3 linked regions of the Astyanax mexicanus genome follow. The protein of the gene in region 3 binds, or shares a complex with, the protein of the main gene of each other region. Links are inferred from orthologs where the notes say so. Each region holds a gene or a part of one and is shown on either strand. Other genes may lie near its edges. The genes, in order: hspb8, stub1 and bag3.

Region 1 (7,923 bases), on a different chromosome or scaffold from region 3:
TACATGATCGTTCTGGACGGGAATAAAATCACAGAGGATAAAAAAAACATAAAATAGAAAATTACCCAGAACCCCCTGAAAAAATAATCCTGTCCGGATAGAGCTTTAGCCCCACTTATCTTTTTCTTTTACATGTTTTTTATGAACACGTCAAAAATCTTGAAACAGAGGGATAAATATTTATAATTGTTACACAATATACCACACGTTCTCTTACACCACTAATATTAAAGTTGAGCTCGTTGATTGGTTTATCAAACTCTGGTAAACTAGCTGAACTAGCGGTACCTTTTTACGTTTTTATGTTTTTTCTTCTTTTTGATTTTATCGGATTAGTTTTTCAGGAAAGAGATGATGATGTTATCTGGGAAAGGCTGCTGTGTTTCAGGTTAAAAACAACAACCTGTAAGAATCCATTTTTCCTCCATCAGCACCACTCTCCTTTTCCTTTTGATTTTTATTGTTATTTTTCTGTATTTTTCAGGTTTTTTTCTCAGGTTGTCAGTTTTGTTGAGTTAGAGAGATGTATGGTTTGTTTAACGGGTTTCTGGCTCCGGCCGGCGAGCTGTCGGCTCAAATGCCAGCGGTGTTTATCTTCAGCCCGAGAGAAAACACCGTGACGACGGTGACGGACGATCAGAACCGCAGTCGAGTTTCTGTCCGTCAGAAACGCCGGATTTTACTGCAGGAAAAAAATAATCTGTTTAGAAAGAGAGACCAGCAGGGGGAGCCTTCAACTCCTCTATACACTAAATATACACGCAGATATACGGTTATATACTGTATAATAAGGGACTGATTGATCACAAAGATAACTTGGGAAATCTGTCACAAATTGGATGATAAACCGGCTGTTTTAATTTTAAATACATAATTTTATAATGTATTATATTAATGATTAATATTATTTATTACTATATTAATTTAATTATAATGATTTCAGTCCCATTCCAGAGCACAGTTAATAGATAATGTAATATTCTTAAGCCTTTATTTTCTTTTTTTTTTTCTTATTTATTATCATTGATTTTTGTATTTGTTTACTCCTTTTATCTCAGGTACATTAATGTAAAGGCAGCCTATTTTATGAAGTCTTATTTAACTCTTTTATAATCTTTTCTAATTTATAGTTATGCTTTTCTCATATTTATTATTATTATTAGTTTGAGCATTTAATATTTCATATTTTATACTTTTTTATTTATTTTCTTTATGAAAACGTGCATGTACTGCTGGATGAGTAAATGAAGCTTCGGGTAAAATGTGATTTATCATAATCTGGTACTCTGGAGTAATGTGAGTATTATTTATAGAGATATACAGCACTTTACAAATGTTTTATTCCCGTAATTACAGTATAATAACTGGTTAGTGCTAATGAAAATTATTTATCGATTAATTAATACTTCTCATCTTTTTTACACATTTAATCTGAAACTTTATAGGAATTATTTGTCCCACTTTATAATAAGTATTGGTAATAACTGTGTAATTACACATCAACAACCTTGTAATAACAGTGTAACTACTGGTTATGTTTTTAATTGATTCGATTTAAATAGTTAATTAAATTAGTATTTATTAAGTATTTTGGATTTAACTGAGAAAATAAACACTTACTGTCCAGATTTAACACTTTATAATAAGGGAACATTAATTAACATTACAGTGCTGCTAATTAATTAATTGATGTACTTTTATTGTAAAGATTTTATTTATACAATATTTTTAAAGGGGACTAAATTTTTTGCAAAGTGCTGTATATTTATATAATGCAATACATTTAAATACAATTACAGAAATTATCTTTATTACCTGAAAAAGTCTGTATTTACTGTTTTAGACTGATAAACTGTAAAAGGGGTCCAAGCACTAATTACACTGCGGTTAATTTATCATTGTTTTATGTTGTTTTATTTTTGTTGTATAACTCTATTTATCTATTGGTTATTTATTGTTTGCCACTTCATTGTGTTTTTTAATATTATTTATATGATTAATTTATTAATTTAATGGTTAATTTTGAGTGTGTATGAAGGCGTTCTCTGGCTCTATGCACTGTAAATAATAAAATAAGGGTTTAGTTCTGCTGTACAGGGAATTATGGGAAAGGATCTGCTGGAGGAATGTGATTTATTATTATCAGGAATAATAAGAGCGATTCTGATTTAAATCTGATGTTTTATGTAAATCTGTGTGTAAATAATCTGAATAATGATGTGAGTTATGTGGGCATGTGTGTAGTGTAATTGAACAGCGGCGGCGGGGGTCTGTATATAACTACACTATAATCATATATACAGTAAATAATGATATATAATGATATATATATATGTCTTATCCGTCTACATGTAAAAGAAATAGTACAGAAAACCTGGAAACAAACCATGAACTTTATAAACACACATTTCTGTTCAGCACAATTTTTTAATGATTATTATTTATCAATTACAATATTTATATTTATATATATATATGGAACTAAGAACTAATATGATGGATGTTCTGTAGGGCTGGGTGATATATTGATATATTTATATTTTAATATATATTATCTACACTAGAGTATACTGATACTAATAAACAATGTTATTGATTTTCAGATCAAACAGATAAACATAAATACAGTAAAAATAACAGGAATTTATTTTTCTTAATAAGTAAAAATAGCAGAATCCATTAAATAATCACTAACCATGTTCATTAAATTCTAGCAGATTTATTGTTTTCGCTATAGCTAAAATAAAACTGTATAAACATTAATAAAGATAATTCCAATTTTAACTAATCTTCCAAAAAATGCTCCTTTTATAAACTATGATGTCATAAAAAGCCATAAAGTGTCATAAGCTGATATTTATCATTGAAAACCAAAAGTAAACTTTCTTTTTATATCTGTAGAAATCCGTACTGATTAACGTTTAGGTAGATTTTCATCAGTTTTTTCCCAAAGATCCTGAATAAAAAAACTAAAATAATAAAAGTTTCTTCAGATTAAAAAATAAATAATCTTTTAAAAGACCTAATGAACCTCAGAAAATTAAAGTGAAGATTATTTTTTTGTTTTTATATGTCAATGTTTATGTGTAATATCGGATTTCAAAAATTGATTTAATCTGATGAATTTCGCCCAGCTCTGCTGATCTGCTCACTAAAACGATATAATAAAATATAATATATAATAAAAATATATAAAAACTAGTCCTAATGTTTTAATAAAAAACACAAAGTGAAAACTATTAATAATTGATTAATCTGTTCTAATATTTCTGGATCCGTCATTCAGAACCGTCCGGTCCGATATTACATCATAATAACACACACATCACCATACAGTAATAACAAAGCACACAAACCCCGCCCCCTGCCCCCTCGCCCCGCCCCCCTCCTGTACTGTAATATATACAGTATACTGTGTGTAGAATAAGTGGGTAATTAGTCTTCCTCTGTTGTCTGATCTGTAATTAAACCTGATTAAATCTGTAATTAATGATAAAAAATAAGTAAATAAATAAATAATAAATAAATAAAACCTCTTTTATTTCCAGTTTGGCTTTGATTTTCTTACTTTAGTAATCAGTATAAAAGTGCTTCAGCGTTTAGTTTAAACCCCACCTCTCTGTTTTGATCTCATTAAGATTATTTATACAGATGATTTAAAAAATATACATTCATTTTAAAAATAGTATTTTTTTGGCAGCAGCAGCCTCTGTGAAGAAATGTGTTCAAATTAGTTTTTATTACCTAATTCTGTGTAAAATTACAGAATTTACAAAATGTTGTTTTGTGTTGAAGTGCTGTAATTAACTTTGTTAGGATAATTAAGGTGTTTAATTCGATATACACCTTTATAATGAGGATCTGAAATAACAGTATTATTATAACAGTAATAAACATTGTTAGATAGTTCAGTAATGTCTCTAATTATTATTTAACACTAGTTAAGAGATTATTAATCATAAATAAATTTGAGTTGAGACATTTTAAGACATTTGAAAAAATACTGTTAATTAATGTACCCTTATTGTGAAGTGTAATCAAAATGTTTGTGATTATATTATGATTTAGTTAAAAATATTTTTTGTCTGTTTACAAGAATTCTACAGTTAAATACTGTTTTCTCATAATTGTATTTGGTTTGTGAGAGAAAACAGAATCATTTGTTTATCAGTTTCATCAAGTAAACTTGCTGTTTTATATCTATAGGAATCAGTACTGATTAATGTTTATTTAGATTTTAATCAGTTGTCCTAAAATAGAGTTTCTTCAGATTAAAGAAACTTTTAAGGATCTAAAGAAACTCAGAACATCAGAGTAAAGAATTTTAAAATTGAATTTGAATTAATCTAAATAGAGCTTTTCTTTATTATGAACTAGTTTTATGTTGTTTTATTTGATATTTATATTTATATACTATATATTTATATGAGGGACGTTAGTTTTATAATAAATTTAGTTGTTGAGATCATTCCAGCTCCGGATGAGTAACAAACAAACAACTCAATAATCAGGTTATATTTAGGGTACAAATAAGGTTATATATAGTTTATATATAAGTTATATATATGGTTATATATGTGATACTGATGTGTTGGTGTTAAGGACTCTCGGGTCGGGTTGGGTCAGGATTCCTGCGGGACGTCCCGCTGCATCACCCCTACACTAATAGAGTAATATGTGAGTACTGGGGGGGAGGGGGAGGGGCTTACGGTGACATCATCCTGCCCTGCTCCTGCTCTGAGTGAAGTTCTATTAAAAAGCCAATGAGTCACCAGATGGGGCGGGGCATGCAGCCGGGGGCGGGGCCAGTGAGGTCCCAGGGCTATACTTGGCCGGCTGTGGGGGCGGGGCCAGTACATTCTGGAGGCCTGAGTCTGAGAGTCACACTGAGGGTGAGGAGATCCAGCAGCTCTATAAAACCCAGATCCAGAACCACAGAACCTCCTCAGAACAGAACCACAGAAACGGTGTCGGATCAGAACAGGAGAACCGGACTCTTCTGCAGCAAAACTTCTACAGATTTTTAAACTTCAGAGAAACTTCACCACTAAAAACAGCTGAACTCCCGGCACAGACTATCTGACTGTACTACTGTCTGATTATTCGATTAATCGATTATCTGACTGTCTGATTGTTCGATTAATCGATTATCTGATAATCGTGTAATCGGTGTTTGGGGGTATTGATCATGGCGGAGGGTGATTTCTACACGTTGGGCGGCAGTAGGCAGCGGATTCCGCGTAATCCGTTCTCTTCGCACTTTATGGACGATGATTTTCCGATGCCTGCGTTTCCGGACGATCTGTCGATGGATTGGCCGGGTTGGGCCCGCCCCCGGCTGAGCGCTCGCCACAGCGCCCCCTGGCCCGGTGCCCTGCACTCGTCCTTCCCCCGCCGCTACACCGAGCCGTCCCGCAGCCCCGCCCCCGGCCCCGCCCCCACCGGCCTCACCGACGAACCCTGGAAGGTTTGCGTCAACGTCCACAGCTACCGACCCGACGAGCTCAGCGTCAAAACCCGAGACGGATTCATCGAGGTTTCAGGTCAGAACTCTAACACAACTTTACATATATATATACTGTTTATATAGTGTGTATGTATGTTTATGTAGTGTGTATGTATGTATTACAGTGTATATACACTGTAATAATACAAATGAATCACTTTATAGACATAACATCTTTATACAAGCACACACTCAACAGTACATTTCAATAATGATTCATAATACTTAATAATATTATTAATTACTGATATAAGTATAAGTATAAGAATAACTGTGTAATTTCTCTTCATATATGTCCCCATATTTGAAATACACTTATAATACAGTAGTAATCGTACAGTGTTTGTAAATAACCTCAGTAAATTCCGCTGAGCTCAGTGTCGCCCCCTGTGTTTATTTAGTAAAAACAGATCATTAAGATGAATAAAGTTACTATTAATAAATCTGTAGTAAATCCTGCTGACAGTAAACAGTCAGTGATCATCATTTATTTATACAGTAATATTATTTATCTGCTGTTTTGTTGTGGAACAGTAATTATATCACCATGATCACTGAACATCACAAGATATCACAACTCAGCTCCACCCTCAGGCCTGTCCTCTATTAACCCTTTAATAACCTTTTAATAACGCTCTATTAACACTCAGAACTGGGAGAACAGCTGAAGATTAAAACTCAAAACAACTCCAGTCCTCTTTATTCCAGCTTTAGTTTAAATTAGTGCTTTTAACATTTTTATATCCAATCTGGTAATGCTTTGGTGTTTTTAGTTTTTTCTTAGCATTTGTACAGCTTTTTTATCACATTTTTTATTTTTAGTGTTTTTGTTTTTTGTGTTTTTTTAGTCCTTCTATGGAAATTTCTTAGTGTTTTAGCATTTTTGTTTTCAAAGGTTTTTGGTCCTTCTTTTGGAGTATTTTAGTGCTTTTTGGCATTTTGTTTTTAGTGGTTTTTAGTCCTTCTTTGAGAGTATTTAAGTTGTTTTAGCACTTTTTTTGTTTTTTTGTTGTTTTTAGTGCTTTTAAGTGCTTTTTTAGCATTTTGAAGTTACTACTCAGACGTTCAGAAGGCAGATTTATTTTATTTATATTGAAATACAGATTAAATATAAATCAGCACTAGTTTAGAGTGTATAGGGTCAGGCCGGGTTGGTACAGAAGTTGGAGAATGACTTGCAGATCACTGAGACTCCAGTTCAGCACCTGCTGAGATCTTTAACCAGCTCGACCCCACAGATAATATTAGCCCAGCAGCTCCAGAGCTGTAAATAACTCAGATCACTGTGGAGCCGTGGAAACCAGGGGCTGTTAAAATGATAGACTGATTACCACACATGCAGAACGTCAACCACCAATCACCAAACACCAACCAACTACCACCAACCACCAACCATTAACCATCAACCACCAACCAACTACCACCAACCACCAACCATTAACCATCAACCAATAACCATCAACCACCAAACACCAACCATCAACCACTAACCACCAACCATCAACCACTAACCACTATCCACCAATCATCCTCCACCAGCCACTAACCACCAACCAACCACCACCAACCACTAACTATCAACCACCAACCACTTACCACCAATCACCAACCACAACCCACCAATCACCAACCACCAATCACCAAACACCAACTATCAACCACCAGCCACCAACCACCAACCACTAACACATACCTAAATTTACATACCTTTTCTCCAGTCTAAATATTCACCTCTCTCTCTTCCTCTCTCTGCAGCCTTTTCCTCTGTTGTTACATAAGAAAGGCTCACCTGTGGTCTTTTTATAGAGCTTACTTCCTGATTGAAGTGCTAACAATTAACCAATGAGGTGTTTGGGCAGGTGCCGCATTTATTAGCCAATTAGCTGATGCTGTGTGATTTTGAATGGCGGTGTTTTGATATGGAAACACGTGACTTTATATCAGATTGTTGTGTTTTATGCAGATAATCGAGATCAGTGAATATAAAAAGTGTTGTTTTGATTTGCTAAATGTTGCTAAAAGCAGAAACTGGGTTTAGAGGTTTGGAGATGAGAGGTTGTATCCTCTCTGTGTGTAAAGGTAAATAATTGTGATAAACATGTGATAGAAACTGGAAACACACTGTAACTGTAAGTTTCTGAGGCTCACTCAGAGTATCTGGGTGGGGGAGGGTGGTTGATGTGCTGGGGGGGGGTGGTTGACGGGGTTCTGTGATGTCACACCGTTTGGAGAATGTTCCTGTAGAACCAGAGACAGTGTGTGACTCAGTGTTCAGTAATTAAAGCTGATTAGAGTCTGATTAAAGTCTGATTAGAATCTGATTAGAGTCTGATTACACTGAGTTTTAATATCTGGTCTGATTTTATCTCTACAGGTAAACACGAGGAGAAACAGGATGAGGGCGGCATTGTCACCAA
Region 2 (7,132 bases), on a different chromosome or scaffold from region 3:
TTGTTTTTTGAGGTTTGAAGGTGCATTGTGTCAGTACCTAAACTTGTACCTTTGCTTGTTTCTGGTTAGCACTTTAAGTAATTTTAGTAAAAAAAAAATAAAAAATAAAAAAAATTAAAAGAGGTAAACAATTTATTGGTTGGTCTGTGTGAATAAATCAACTGGAAAATGAAAGACATAGGAGACCATTGATAATCCTCCTCGATCAGGAGCCCCATGCAAGATCTCATCCTGTGGAATCAAAACAATCATGAGAACAAGGAGTAAAAATCCCAGAACTACACAGAGGGACCAGATGAATGACCTGCAGAAAGCTGGGGACCAAAGTAACAAAGACAAACTTCAGTAAAACACAGAGAGGGACTCAAATCCTGCAGTGCCAAACATGTCTCCCTGCATAAACCAGTACATATCCAGGCCCGACTGAAGTTCACCATAGAGCATGTGGATGATCCAGCAGAGGATTGGGAAAATATCATGGTAAGAATTAATGAATGAAGACATGTATCATGAGATTTTAAGCCAAAACCTCCTTCCATCAGTGAGAGCCTTGAAGATGGAACATGGCCGGGTCTTCCAGCATGACAATGACCACAAACACAACACTCGGGCAACAAAGAAGTGGCTTTATAAGAAGCATTTCAAGGTTGAAACTCTGTGTTATTACTGCCTCCTCTAGAGGGAATCTGCATGGAGGAATGGGCCAAAACTCTAGCTATAGTGAGTGCAAACCTTTTGTTACTGACCAAATAATATTTTCCACCATAATTTACTGAATTTATTTACCTATGATGAAAATTACGTACCTCTCTCATCTTTGTAAGTTGGAGAACTCGCACAATAATCAGTGGCTGACTAAATACTTTGTGTGCTATTCTAATAATGAATTTACTTCCATAAAGCACTCAGCTAAAATAATAAAGTGCTAAAAAAGTGAGTATAAATAAACATTCAGTATAAATAATCTTTACTTATTCATACTTGCATACAATCCTCATCAATTACCTAAAAGTACTCCTATCAGAGTATTGAGTATTGATATTTAAATTAAAAAGATTAACGATATTCCCCCAGTTCCCAGTCCCACTCTCTGGCTCCTCCACACTTACGATGGCTTTGCTGTAGCAGGCCGCGGCCTCCTGGTACTTGCGGCAGAGGAACAGGCGGTTGCCCTGCTCCTTCAGCTCCTGCGCTGAGGAGGAGCTCTTCTCCGGGCTGCCGGCCTGCATCTTCTCCACAGGCTCTGCGGTGGCCGCTCCCCCCTGCTTCCCAATCCTGTTCCCCGTCTCTTCGGCTGGGGCACCGGCGCTCCCGGGGTCACCTGGAGAGATGCCTCTGCCCTCGAGCTGCAAATCCAAAAAGTGAACACAGGATCCAGACTCAAATACAACTCTAAAACAACTCAACTAGTTTTCTCTGGATGAACAATAACTCAATCAGTAAAAAAAAATTAAACGGCCAAGGGTGGCAATATATGAACATCTGGGAAAGGGGATCATTATCACTGGTTTATATTCATATACATAAACTTCAGAACCATGCATCGATTAGAGCATATTACAGTGCGCTTTATTATTACAGTACTCTCGCTCCAGTCCTATCACAGAGTGATTAAATTGCAATAAACACACGGAAAAGGAATTATGCTGCCTTCAAATGGTGTTGGAAATATCATATTTATGAGAGGAGAGCACATTAAGGCCACCACAAACTCTGAACAAACTGTATTTAAAAGTGGGAAACTCGGATTTTTAGATTAGCACAGAGTTTCCCAGTTGGGGGCGTGTCAGTAACAAGAGGTCAAAAAATTAATAATAATTTTACTGTTATTTAAATTGATAAATAAATTAAATAAATTGATGCACACTTGAACACTTGCATGTTGTGATTAGCTAACTAATAAATCAAAAGTCTAGTATGATTCATAGTTCTAATGGGATAAAACCATCACTTAACTAATGCGTGTCTTTATCACTCTTTATACTCCTGGATTAGGGCAAAATAAACCTGCAGGTTTTTTTTTTTTTTTTAGAATCATAAACCAAAAGTATAAACAAAAGATTTTCCTAATGGCGTCCATTTCCACCCGACCAAAATACACTTGAATGCATGTCGAGTAATTACGACATCCAACCTAAAACAAAAGAGTTTTCCAAGGAGGACGTGAAGGCAGCAATAATGTATTATGTGGAAGCGTCACATTACAATATGCTCTTCCAATCATGTAACCACACACATGGCACAGGGAGCGGATAGCTTCTACAGGTTTACTTAAAGTGAAATCCAAGGCTTCTTGGCATTTAAATCCCATGTTCTGCTGTTTATATCGTTTTGAAGTGGAGGAAGATAGAGAAAGAGATACAACCTATAGCAAAGATGGAAGAAAGAGATGGCAGAAATAATAGCTGACTATTCGACTACTCTGTTAAATAATCGACTAGTTAGTCGATTAATCGACTAGCAGAATAATCGTTAGCTGCAGCCCTAGATTAGGGCTGCTCATCAGGAAAGAGAGAGCAAAAACAGGGCTCTAATGACACAAAACGCTTAAAAATGACTAAAAACAGATAAATATTGAATTAATTTATACACGAACGCGCTAATAGTGGAGTTAATAAGCTTTTATCCGCTGTAAGAAGCTGAAACTCGCTGTTATTTGATGGAATAGGCCTGCTCCGGTTCCGGCTGCTGTCGGGACCTACCGGTGGTAAACTCAGCGCTCTGCCCGGCGCCCACGCTCCTCCCCCGGTCACAGCGCCGCGCAGACTCCGCCGTTAGCTTAGCTTAGCCTAGCAGCTCTGTCCGGCAGGCGGGCTGCTCGCTCCGTGCGCCCCGCGGTTTAAGCGACTCGCGGGTTCATCTCCGGTTTCTGCTCTTTATAATAATAAACCCAGAACTGCGGTCTTTCTCTCCGCGGCTACAGGGAGCCGCTCATCCTCGCGCCGCTGCGGAGCCGCTAAAGCTAAAGCTCGGCTTGTTTTCCACCGTGACGTACAGCCGCGGACATGTACCCGGAGAACCGAGTCCCGTCAGCGCACTGAATCGATTCAGTTAATGAACACGCAGTTTACAGCTGTTCAGTTCAGACTGACTCCTGATTCAGAGAGTCGGTTCAGCTGGATTCTCGGTAGATACTGTTGCTAGGCAGGACAAGCCTTCTTCCCCTGTAATAAAAAAGTGTATTTAAGTATATTTATTAAAAGTATAATTAACATAGAAAAACACGTACTTTTAGCATTAAAATCAATACTTACTTAAATACATACTAAAACGGAACCCCTAAGATGACACCATGTAAAAATATTTAATAATGCATGGCCACGACTTATTAAGGCATAGGAATGAGATCCTAAGGTGTGGCCAAAACTTATGGCAACTTAAGTTTATTTCTACGTAGCCCCTTATGTGACGTCATGTAAAAAAAAATAATTATGAGTGGCTATGACTATTATTAAGGCATAGGAATTAGTTCCTAAGCTGTGGCCACAACTTAAAGCACAGCGACTCAGTTCTGTTACATCAGCTCACAGAGGGTTCAAGGGAATGTGGGAAAGCTATTCGCTCATGTGCATTAATTTACAGAAAAGCAAGCTTTATTATTCTCTGGCTACAACTTAATTATGTTGTTCCCACACCTTAATTATCTCATTCCCAATAACTTGTGGCCACGCATTAGGATTGTATATTTCAATTGTAATTAAGCTATATTTAAATACAACATAAAATTAGGAGTTTGTGCATTTGAGTGCTTTTTGTATAACATCTGTGAACTTAATTAGATTCAAGTTTTTTTTTTTAACATAATTTTTAATACACTTTACAAAGTATAATGTAAATTAAAGTACACTTTAAGCAGTAGTCAATGCCTAGCACTGTCTTGTGTGGGAGTAAAAAAGTAAATATAGTGAGAAGTTCCAGTGTGTATATCTGTAAATCAGTGCAGTGTGAAGCTGATTTAACACAGAACACAGAAAATTTGCTGCAGCTCTTTTAAACACAGTGTTTTCAATGGGACGTGCAGCGCATATGTACACATAGTAAACAGAGTCACACAACTGTGAGCAGTAAACGCAGCACAGACCACGCTCTTAGAGCGTAAACAGCATGAAGCAGCATTTGTTCATAGCTGTGGTAATTATATCAGATTAAACTGCACCTTATCAGCAGTTTAGCTCAAATAAAAGAAGTATATTTGATATCTGAGTCGGATCGAGACCAGATCACGTTTTCACCACAAGTGAGAATTACTGTGTGATTATTGTTTTCGCACCTGCTCAATTAAACCGCACTAAGAGTACAAACCAATCAGAGTCTGTTTTAACCAGAACAAATAGTGCTGGTGTGAAAGCTGAGTGTAGTGTGAGCTGGGCGTGTTCTGCTGAGCTCATCCAGCTGATCCAGGGCTTTCTCCTCTCTGGACTCCACTCTGCTGACCCATCGCTTTCCCCTGGCAGCACAGCTCCTGTTAGGAGGTGCCTCCTTTCAGACATTAAAATACGACCACTTTATTTTATTATGCTTTATTTTATTTTATTCGTTTCTGCAGCGGTAACCCAGAGCAGTAGAGAGGGATGACTGTTAATTGCTAAATAAATTAAACCATATTTGTCTGCTGTCTGTCTTGTAAGCTAAAAAAAAATGTAAGTCGGGTCATTTAAACAGTTAAACCACACTAATAATCTAATTTGTATAATGACCACTTATCACTGTATTCCCCAAAAATAAATATATTTTCACACAAATTAAACAGAAAGCGCTACAAACATTTTCTTTTTATTTATCAAGAGTTAATGCATTAGTATGATTTGTTGTTTAAATTTTCATATTCAATATTTATATCAGCTAAAAATCTGCTGTTAAATTAAATAAATGATCCTTTATATGTTTTTTTCACATTTATTGGAAATGCAAAACAAATCACGTCAATTACTGTTCAGCGATATACCAGTAAAAGAGACAATTTAATAGGCATTCAACACAGACACAAAAAAAGGCAAATATTGTTTTTAATTTATTGAGTCTAATTTCTGTATATATTTACAGATTTTAAATCATTATTTAGTGTTCTCTAGTGTTACATATATGCTATTAAATATAGCATATTCACTTTTTTTAAATATATTTTAATACTGTTTGATGTTTACTCCTTTAAAAGATCTATCATCACACAACGTTTACTTTAAGCTTAAATAGAAAAGTCGTTTTTTATAACTATTTTGTATTAAAACAGACTATTACTTTAAATAGCAATATGTAATATTTACATTGGGTAATATTACTGTGTATTATTCAAATAAATTATCATCACAATAGCTGAAATGTACGCTGAATTAATTTTTTTATTTCAGTTTTTCAGGTGAAGCTCCCACGCACTCAGGTGATCTGGAGGGGAAAGTCAGCTGACCTCACATAGGCCTGTGGATTGGCTGCCTTTTGGATGATTCAAGCAGGTGGTCTGTTTGTAAAAGCCTTACTTAAACTTAAGTTATTTTCTGTCTTTTTTTTATTTTATTTTATTTCGTTGTGGTTCCAGGTAAGTTAGCTGGGGGCTGGGTTAAGATTTGTTTTGTTGGATATCGTGGCATTAAGCTCACCCTGAAGTTGTTGTTAAATTTTCTTTTTGTGTATTTAAGTGATTTGTCTTGATTTTAATACATATTTACTGAAAACTGACGTTTATGTTGTTGCCTCCTTAAACCCTAGACGTTTTGATTAGTTGGGAGTTTCTTCCCTCAAAATATAAAGTGGGTCTTTGCAGCTCGTTTGAAGTAATAAAACGTGTTAGTCTTGCTTAAAAAATTTAGAAAGTTTCTAACCTTTAAAAAAAATGCTTTTATTGTGGTAGTTTCTGCCTCTGCAGCTCCCCTTCAGGTTCAGCTGTGCTATAGGCCAGGATGATGTTTCTGTGTACTTTGGTACACAAACACATCACAATATGCAAATCAGTCAATAATCAATAATACATATCAGAGGCACACTACTCAGCCCAATCAGCTCTCCTTCCTGCTCCGCATCTAAACCCATACATCACCTATAGTGCCCCTCTCAAACCACCCCTCCCATTTTTAGCCTTTTTCAACTTTAAAATCAGGATGTGTGTTTTGGACATTTATGGAAATACAAAACAAATAACATCTCGTATCGATTCAATATGGTATTTTACAGGATGGGTCGTAACCGGACATGCAGAGACAGACGGGTTCAAGTTCATAAAATCCATTTAATGAGTTAGATTAGGACAACATGAATCATAACTGCATTATAAAAGAACAGGAACATCTGAGACCTGAAAGAATAAACCATCAGAGAACTGGACTCGGCCATGAATCACTCACTCACTCGGCGTTACTGATCTCTAGCCTGGTCTTCTGCTACTGGAGGAGACAGCAGGACTTCTTCCTGTCTGTTTAGGGAGGAGAACGTGCAGCTACGTTTATTTACACACTCACACACACACACACTCATACACCCACACACACATTCACGGGCTGTCAAACTGACCTCAGAGCAGCTTTAAATAAAGCCTGAGCCACCTCACACACACTCTCTTACACACTCGCACTCACACACTCTACGAAACAGTACAGGTACACGGTAAAGAGCTCCACCGTCTAAACAGATCAACATAAAAAGGGGGAACAAAACTAAAATAAAAGAAATGAACATAGTAAACAGAATAATTGGCTGAAAACGTGGCGAATTCTGTAAATGCAGCCGTTTACCCCCAAATACTAAACACTATAAAGACTGTAATGCGACCGAACGACGGCTAGCTCAGCACTCTTAATTCCCTTTACCTACAGTTCTGCAGTTCAGTGCTCAGTGTAGAGTGGTGATCTCCAAGCCCAAAGTGTTCAGACCCAGCCCAAATCAGATTTTTACCAGATCTAGACTCAATCCAGATTAATGTTTGATATAGTCTGGACATACAGAAAATACATGAAATAGGATTTTAGCATAGTTATCTAGTATCCTGATTGATTTGTGACAACCTGGACATTAATAAATCACATGAAAACGGATTGTTGATATATGAAGACTAATCCAGATTGATATTTGATGGTCTGTATATCCAGATATCTCATGAAATTGGATTTTTGCTGCATCTAGATTGCATCCAGATTTTTTTAAA
Region 3 (8,081 bases):
GGACCCTTTGTTGCTGTATGTGAAATATATAATTAGTACAAAAACATTGTTTATACAAAGTGTTTAAAAAGAAACAAATCTTACTGGATGTGTCTTTCTTCTGACTGCTTGGAGTTGTTGCCCAATTTACTTTGACTTCCTGCACATAAAAAAATCGTTTTTAAGGTTAAACAGAAGAGTTTTCATATAAAGCAAATCACTAAGAGGGAAAAAACATCTTAAACAATTGACATGGCAAAACAAAGTACCTTTCCAAGAATCTTTCTTCCGTTCATTGCGGCTAGGGCAGCTGCGGCATCCCTGTGTTCAAAGAACTCCACAAAGCAATATGGGTCATTGCTTGTGTGCTGCAGAAAAGAAGGTCCAACAGAGTGTCACTGTTCTGACATTACAAAATAGCATGATTAGCACAATAGGACTTGAAAAAAGCAAAACATTTTCTTAGACTTCATTTAACAGGCAAAGACTTTGTAGGAAACCTAAACTTTAGTTAAAAATGAGTCTTTCAATCAGGGCTATATCCCATTCTTACCTCTGTTATCATTTTACAACTTTTACAGGGGCCAATCTGGGTGAACAACTGGAGTATCAAGTTCTCTGTGACATCCCTAGAGAGGTTCCCCACGTAACTGAAAAACAGAAAACACAGACATCCAGCATATCACAATGCTCAGAATGAGAAGTGAGAATAAAGCTTATTAGTTTAATCAATTCAGCAAAAATCTCAATGAAGCTTGCCTTTATGGCAAACCATTTTTAAATCTCTGTAATGCACTTTTTTACTAGTGGAAGCTCATTTCAGAGATCAGCTGTGATTTTGTATTAGTAAAATCAGATCTATAAAGACATTCTTACTATTCATTTTACCAGGAAGACATACCCTAGATCAAAGTATGACTACTCATACAAGTCATATCCAATCATTTAATTTATCAAAAGCCTTATCTATATGTGCACTTCTATAACAGAAATCTATAATTATTTTCTCCACTGGTAGATACTGTAATTTCAGATATCTATAATGTAATTCTGACAAATTCTATATTTGTACAACTTGAAAAGTTAATTATGGACCAGGTCTTTTTTTTATAGAGATGTGTAAATAACTGAAATTATTCTGGTATCCTGGTGAAAAAAAGTAATTCTAGATGTCTGTAATTGGAGTGTTTACTTGTAAAAATGCTAGAACGTTGATAATGTCATAGATCAGGTAAATATTTTACTAATATCTGAAATGTGAGTTTCTACTGGAAAACAAAAACGTAAATTACAGTTTTTTTTCTCAACAGCAGATTTCTTCACCTTACAACAAACCACACTAAAATGCAAAAAATGAACGTTAAAAAAGTCCAGTATATTTAAGCGAAATACAAAGAGCTTTTAAATCTCTTTATTTTTATTGGTAAAAACTGTCAGTTCGCTGGTGTCAGAAACGGCTTGCCACATTGCCCTTATTGTTCCAGATGAGCGAAAATGACAAAGGAAAGAAAGGCTAGCGTGTCTCTTTCTTTATTAAGCTAGCTAGCTAACTAGTTTGCCACCAATAACGTTACTCTTAAGAAGAAAACTTTTCTGAAAAAGCTAATAAATAACAGTGCCACGCCAAAAGGCAGAAAAATATAGGATAAAAACCCGATGTTAGTAAACCTAAGGCTAGCTGTCTGACAGTCACATTGTTTTCCGTTTAAAAATGCCGGAGAGGGCATTTCTGTAGCTTACAGACGGGCTGCCAACAGTTGTAGCCGTTTCTATAAATAGATCAGAACACTAAAACAATGACAACAAATAACAGAACAAAGTTGGCATTTCGTCGGGAAAATGTCTAGAAGAACAATAACCGTTCGTGTAAAGGGTGCACGGCACTGTAGTCTGTTATTAGGCCTCTGAAATCCAGCAGTGAGCGGCTGTGTGTCAGACAATAGCTAACGTTAAACAAGCGGCTACTGCTAGGCAGCTAAAGCTAGCTAGCTACTTTAGCTATCCCTTTGAAATTATTTGCTAAGCTAAGTTAAATTACTAGTCTATTTCATTGGATACGAGTCCATAATAAATTATAAAATTCTGCTTGTGGAGTTGGTTAATTATGTAACGGTAGACATGTAGCTATGACACCACATACAGCCCTTTATATAACTCAATTTTGTTTCACATAGCTACTCATATAACGTTAACTTACTTTAACTTGGACGGCTAACGGCGGCTAGCTAGCTGCTAGCCCCGCTCACAAGCTAACTATCTATGCAGCTAACGCTAGCTACTTATATTACCCATAGATAAACTGGCTAAGCTAGCTAGCAACCGTTGTTAGCTAGCAAGCAACGAGCTAGCAAACAGAGGTGAGCAGCAGTTCACACATCAGGCAGACAACACAACTCACTGACAACTCTGCACACTATGATTTTCACAGAGTTTAAACAGTTCTAGCCCTGTCCCTGAGCGCACATCTCTGTCTGAGAGGAGAAAAAAGACCCCAGAACAGGTTACGCTCCCGTTAAGTGAACGACTGTGGTTTAGAACACTCCAGTCTAAACGTATAGACAACTATCCCGCTCTAAAGTACTCACAGGGTTTTTGGGTGGCAGTCGTCTTCCATTCTCGGATGTCGTGCTAAGTCTTCGTGTAACCTCTCAACGGCTCCTGTGCCCTGTTATTTTGGTTAAAAGAACGCCAGACCGATTTAAGCTAGTTACTTTCTTTATTGTGTAGAAAATGGCGAAACCCGGCCAGCTAGGAATCCAGCCAACGCGCATGCGCGCAGCATCACGGGGTTGAGCACTGTTGAGCGAGTGCGAGCGCGTTCAAGCCCACAATAGCAAGTAGAGCGTAGCCTCAACACAGCGCAGTATGTGTGTAGACATATATACAGTTTGGGGGGGGGAACACCTAAAAATTATGATTTGTTTTTAATTTAATTGAATTTTTGCTTGAATTTTTGCTCCAGGAGTGGCATAAAGTTATCCTAAAGCATTTTGTAAGATTAGTGGAGAAGAACTTGACAAGATGCATGAAAACTGTGATTAAAACGGATGATTATTTCACCAAATATTCTGAACTCTTAAAACTTAATTAATAAGAACTTTATTATTGCATTATTTGAGGTTTGTAAGTTTTGCATCTTTTTGTTATTTCAGCCATTTCTCATTTTCTGCAAATAAATGCTCTAAATGACAATATTTTTATTTGGAATTTGAGAGAAATATTGTTAGTAGTTTATAGAATAAAACAACAATGCTCATTTTACTCAAACAGAGACCTATAAATAGCAAAATCAGAGAAACTGATTTAAAAAATAAGTTTTCTCTCATTTTTTCCAGAGCTCTATGTGTTTGTGTATGAGGCTTCACAGTAAGATATCCTAATGGAACCAGCAAAAATGTTTTTGTTTTTCTATTATTTTTTTTTATTATTTAATTAGTATGGTTAGGGTGCTTATATATATATATATATATATATATATATATATATATATATATATATATATATATATATATATATATATATATATATACACACACAAAAACAGAAAACAGAAAAATATATAAAAATATATATTCAGCTATAGGGAATGATTCTCCAGTATGTAGCCATGTGCCACTAGTACCAATATTTGATATGCAGAAAATTACAAAGTTTTGGATATATGTGTAAACTAATTGTGCAACAATAAACATTTACAACTATTACTACAACTACTCTAGGCATAGGTCATTGTGTGGGCTATGTGATGAAAATTAAAATGGTAATAATTTGCTTAAGGACATCTATTAGTGATTGTATTTTGAAGTGATTTTATTCCAAATTCCTCTTCTCTTGCTCTATAATTTAATTTTCAGTGGTCATTGCAGATGAGTTTGAGCATAGGAAAATGTATTAATGCAAATCAATAACTTCTTAATGCAAAATGTCTCTAATCATTCCCACGTAGCATTATACAAATATGCAGATTCCTGCACCCTTTTTAGAACATGTGGGGAACTTGATTTACTGAGAGATTAATCCCACATTGGCTTGCTTTAATGTAGTCTATGATCAGGAATTACATGCTAGTTGAAACTAATAAAATACCTCAGCAAATGCATAAGAACATGGAACATAGTCTCATTTTTCTGATGTCCAACACATTTAGTGATTTCCCTAGATTTGACAATTAACATTATGTACATAGCATATGTACACCTCTACTTTACCTCAAGTACATGGTTTGTGTACTTTGTCCACCATGTTGAAAACAGACGGATTGTATCAGATCAGTGTGGAAAAAGGGATGTTACGGGCAATCATTAAACTGGACTAACTTTCCAGGACAGGAAAAGATGACCCCTGCACTGAACAAACATGGTGGCAGTATAGTTCATGCTGTACTGCTGCACTTTTTTCATACACAGTATATCAACCTGTTAACCATAAAATGACCAGAATGATAAGTGTATCATGCTGCCTGTCATTTTTTTGCATTGTAGGCTTGATATAGCTGTGGTGTGGTCTGAATAATTGCTATTAGTCACTTGCTGTTAGTCAGTTGCTTGCATTTGATATACCAGGATTATAGGCAAAAGTTGACACTGTATGTTCTAGAAATGTCTAGAAAATCTAATCTTAATTTTGATAGCATAAGACTCTAAATGCTGAGGAGTGCCCTTCTGTCCTTCCCGTATGTTTTTTTGTCCCTGCCCTTCAAACATCTTTTGTTTCTATACATCTCAAAATATTTTAATATTTTAAATTTTCACATAAGGTTCTATTTTCTTTAGATTCTTCAGCATTGTCTCTAAATTATTTAATATTAAGGATTTTTTGTCATTCAAAATTATTTAATAATATTCTAATCAAATATTATTATTTTTTTTTACATAAGCAGAAGCTTATAGACGTATCCATTCTAAAGGGGTAGGTCAAGCCTCCAAGACTCAGCTGTGTTCAGCCCACTAGAACTTTCTCAGCAGCCCACCAGCTGCTTCGAGAAACCCACCCCCAGTCAGCCGTACGTCATCACATCGGTCCTTTAAAGGATCCGTGTGCGCTGTCATGGCACAATATTCAAGAGCGAGACTACAGCAGAGCATGAAAACACTGTCTCCTGTGGAAGCGATGGCTACGAATGACCCCCTGCCGCCAGGATGGGAGATCAAGATTGACCCTCAGACCGGCTGGCCGTTCTTTGTGGATCACAACAACCGCGTAACGACGTGGAACGACCCGAGACATGACTCTAAGAAGGTAGGATCTGCGGAGAGAGCCGTCGTGGCGCAGTCGCAGAACTGCCATGGAAGAAGTTGCGCTCTCACGTCCCTGTCGCTTCTCTGCTTTGCTTTTTTGCGGAGTGTCAAATAATGTGGCTGACAGGTGGTCTCCGGTGGGCTGGAGGGGGGGAGGCTTTGGTCTTTAGCTAGCTGTTTATTTGCTATTTGCTCTAGTGGACTGGTGGTGGACGTAGGCGTGAATAGTTTTTTAGCATAACTTTGTGTGGGTGATCTGATTTAACTGGCTACATTATTATAGACTGCGTTGATGTCTACATTCCGCTACATACATTATAATAAAAAAGCCTATAGAGAGACTTTTAAATAGCCAGTGGAGATACGTCGTATAGGCTGCTGGAGATACTTCTAAAGGTTCTGAGCTGAGCGGAATTATTAGTTGATTATTACCTTGGTTAGTTGGCTAGTTGAATGACATCAGGCCACATTCCTGAAATAGCGCCTCATATATTCTTTGTAGCTACCAGCTATCACGCTGTGTATAATATTTTAGTGTTATGATCTAAGCCGGCCAGCCTGCTTTTAGTGCGTGTGACGCACTGCAGTTGCATGTAGCCAAGCCTTAAGACTCGGAGTGTTTCAGAGTCTCCATAATGGTTATTTTTAAAGAGGCTGAAGCTCCACACACACACACACGCACAAACACACGCGCACACACACACTGCGTTTGTTCGGGAATATCGCCGCTGGAACTGCGCGCTATCATGTCTGTCCTCTAAAGTTTCCCTTACATGGGATTTGAGACGGATCCACCCTCTCTCTGAGCGCGTCGGTGATGACCAATGAATGGGTCGATACTTGGAAAGGCAGAATCATGGTGATTCAGTTGTTCAATTTCGTCAAAAAAAATTAAATAAAAGGAGAAAAGTCCTACTTTACTTTACTTCACATTATAAGCTGGAAATTCTTCTAAGCTGTTAGGTTGAATCACTCACTATAGGGTGCAGACTGTAGGGCTCGCCAGTTGGTATCTCTCATTAGAAAGATCAACACGTTGCTGTTGGCCAAAGTTAGTGTCACCAAGAATCTGCTGGAAAGACACAGCTGCCAGGAGATAAAATGAGCACAAGGCCGTCTCGGTGTCCACACGTCCATGCCAAAAAGGCAGAGGACACAAGGTCATTCACCTACTTCATTCACTTTAAAGCATTTTCTTTCTTCAGTTTTCTCACCAAACTACATGCTATACTATATACAACTACTTGTAAATGTATCCTAATTTTAGGTTAAACCAAAGCTAAACCAAATATAAGCCTTATTGTGTGGACCGACCAGGTTTAAAGACCTGACCACCTCCACCACCAGCACCACCACAATATCAAAATTTTTGTTTTGATTGCTGTCCCTCCCTGTGTGGGATGAGAGATTGTCTGGGGCCCATACCTCTGATTCACACTGATGAGTAAGGGAGGCCTTTTCTTTCTCATCATAGATCTGCTTAGTGACGCCCACCCCCTCACAAAGTGTATTTTAAGCTCCAGTGTCAACTAAACAGCAACCCATTCAACATACACACATGCACACACATACGCACACATAGAAACACATAACATGAGTCATGTAATATATGTACAGTAGCCTGTATAACTTCTGTATAGCTGTTGAACAGCCTATAGTTGCATGTAAAATGATTTATACTGTGAATGTGCTCTTTGCTCAGCCCTCACCCCATTGTTAAAACAGATTACTGTACATAAGTTGAGTTTAGCTCTAAATTTGTTGACCACACTGGGAAATTTCATACTTGATTTATACCACACTACTTTCACATGGCTTTACTTTAGCACAATTTGCAAAGATCATAAAGCACACTGTAACCATAAATATTTACAACTTTACAACAACCCGAAACTGAAATTAAAAGGCTAACAGCTTGTAAGACATAACACTGCACCATAAATCTTAGAAACTTTAATGCAATACTTACTTAAATTAAATTATTGCAATTTACAATTTACTCCACCTCTGTTCTTCGATAGTATGTCCTTAAATAATAGTTTGAATCATGGAAAATCAATGGAATATTCTGCCTGTGATGAAACGATACTTGTTTTCCTTACGGTCATCAGCGAGGTGATACTTTTGACATTGTGTGTAGGTATTTCACAACATCTAATTATCCTGCACATACCAACGGAGCACTCTCACATCTTACAGGAAAAAACAGGCTTGTGCTTATTATTTATGCTTGTTTTTTACATTTAATTTTGGACAGTCAGCCTGTTTTGTAATTAAATTATAGTCAAACATTTTATCATCTCTCTTCTCATACATTAAAATGCAAAGTTCATTAATAATAAAGGATAAAGTAGGGCCAAGAAAAAAAATGAAAACAGTGAAGAAAGCATTAGAGTGTAGAGTCTTCTATGGATTAAAGCAGCAGTATATTTGTCATAGTGTACAGGATTTCAAAAATATGAAAATTTATAGTATTCTATATAGTGGGTCAGTTTTGTTAATACAGTGATTAGAGTGACTAAATGTTATTTTGGTATTGTGACACACCACCAAAGGGGAACAGGCATATCTTTTCAGGGTAAAATTTATTTGATCTGACTTCAGATTTAAATTTGTTAAATACGAAAAACAATGAGGGATGACTTTTTTACTCAATGATTAAAATTGCTTGTTGATTTGTAAGAGATATTCTGCTAAAGACCCATCAGCCCCGTAAAGGTTCTGCTTTAGCCTACTGTTACTGCTACTGCTGCGAATAATACGCAATAAAATGTATACTTTTATACCATTTGTCAGTAGGGGTTTACCTTAAAATAATTTAAACCAGCTTTACACCTAGTTTAGTGCTTCATTGATTTGTAACAG

What was found.
Region 1: bag3 (region 3) and hspb8 share a complex: the UniProt entries of both Homo sapiens proteins name them as parts of the chaperone-assisted selective autophagy (CASA) complex. The link is inferred for Astyanax mexicanus from reciprocal best matches to the Homo sapiens genes BAG3 and HSPB8.
Region 2: bag3 (region 3) and stub1 share a complex: the UniProt entries of both Homo sapiens proteins name them as parts of the chaperone-assisted selective autophagy (CASA) complex. The link is inferred for Astyanax mexicanus from reciprocal best matches to the Homo sapiens genes BAG3 and STUB1.

The regions. Positions count from the first base shown.
Region 1 is NC_064429.1:38,598,965-38,606,887, forward strand, and holds the start of hspb8 (heat shock protein beta-8), read left to right. Parts: upstream 1-4,836; 5' UTR 4,837-5,188; coding exon 5,189-5,543; intron 5,544-7,880; coding exon 7,881-7,923. UniProt on the Homo sapiens protein: Involved in the chaperone-assisted selective autophagy (CASA), a crucial process for protein quality control, particularly in mechanical strained cells and tissues such as muscle. Displays temperature-dependent chaperone activity.
Region 2 is NC_064413.1:56,075,545-56,082,676, forward strand, and holds the start of stub1 (E3 ubiquitin-protein ligase CHIP), read right to left. Parts: upstream 3,038-7,132; 5' UTR 2,703-3,037; intron 1,347-2,702; 5' UTR 1,230-1,346; coding exon 1,110-1,229; intron 1-1,109. UniProt on the Homo sapiens protein: E3 ubiquitin-protein ligase which targets misfolded chaperone substrates towards proteasomal degradation.
Region 3 is NC_064414.1:37,723,710-37,731,790, reverse strand, and holds the start of bag3 (BAG family molecular chaperone regulator 3), read left to right. Parts: upstream 1-5,002; 5' UTR 5,003-5,025; coding exon 5,026-5,217; intron 5,218-8,081. Other genes in the region: tial1 (nucleolysin TIAR), read right to left, coding at 85-139, 249-347, 533-629, 2,565-2,593. UniProt on the Homo sapiens protein: Co-chaperone and adapter protein that connects different classes of molecular chaperones including heat shock proteins 70 (HSP70s), e.g. HSPA1A/HSP70 or HSPA8/HSC70, and small heat shock proteins (sHSPs), e.g. HSPB8.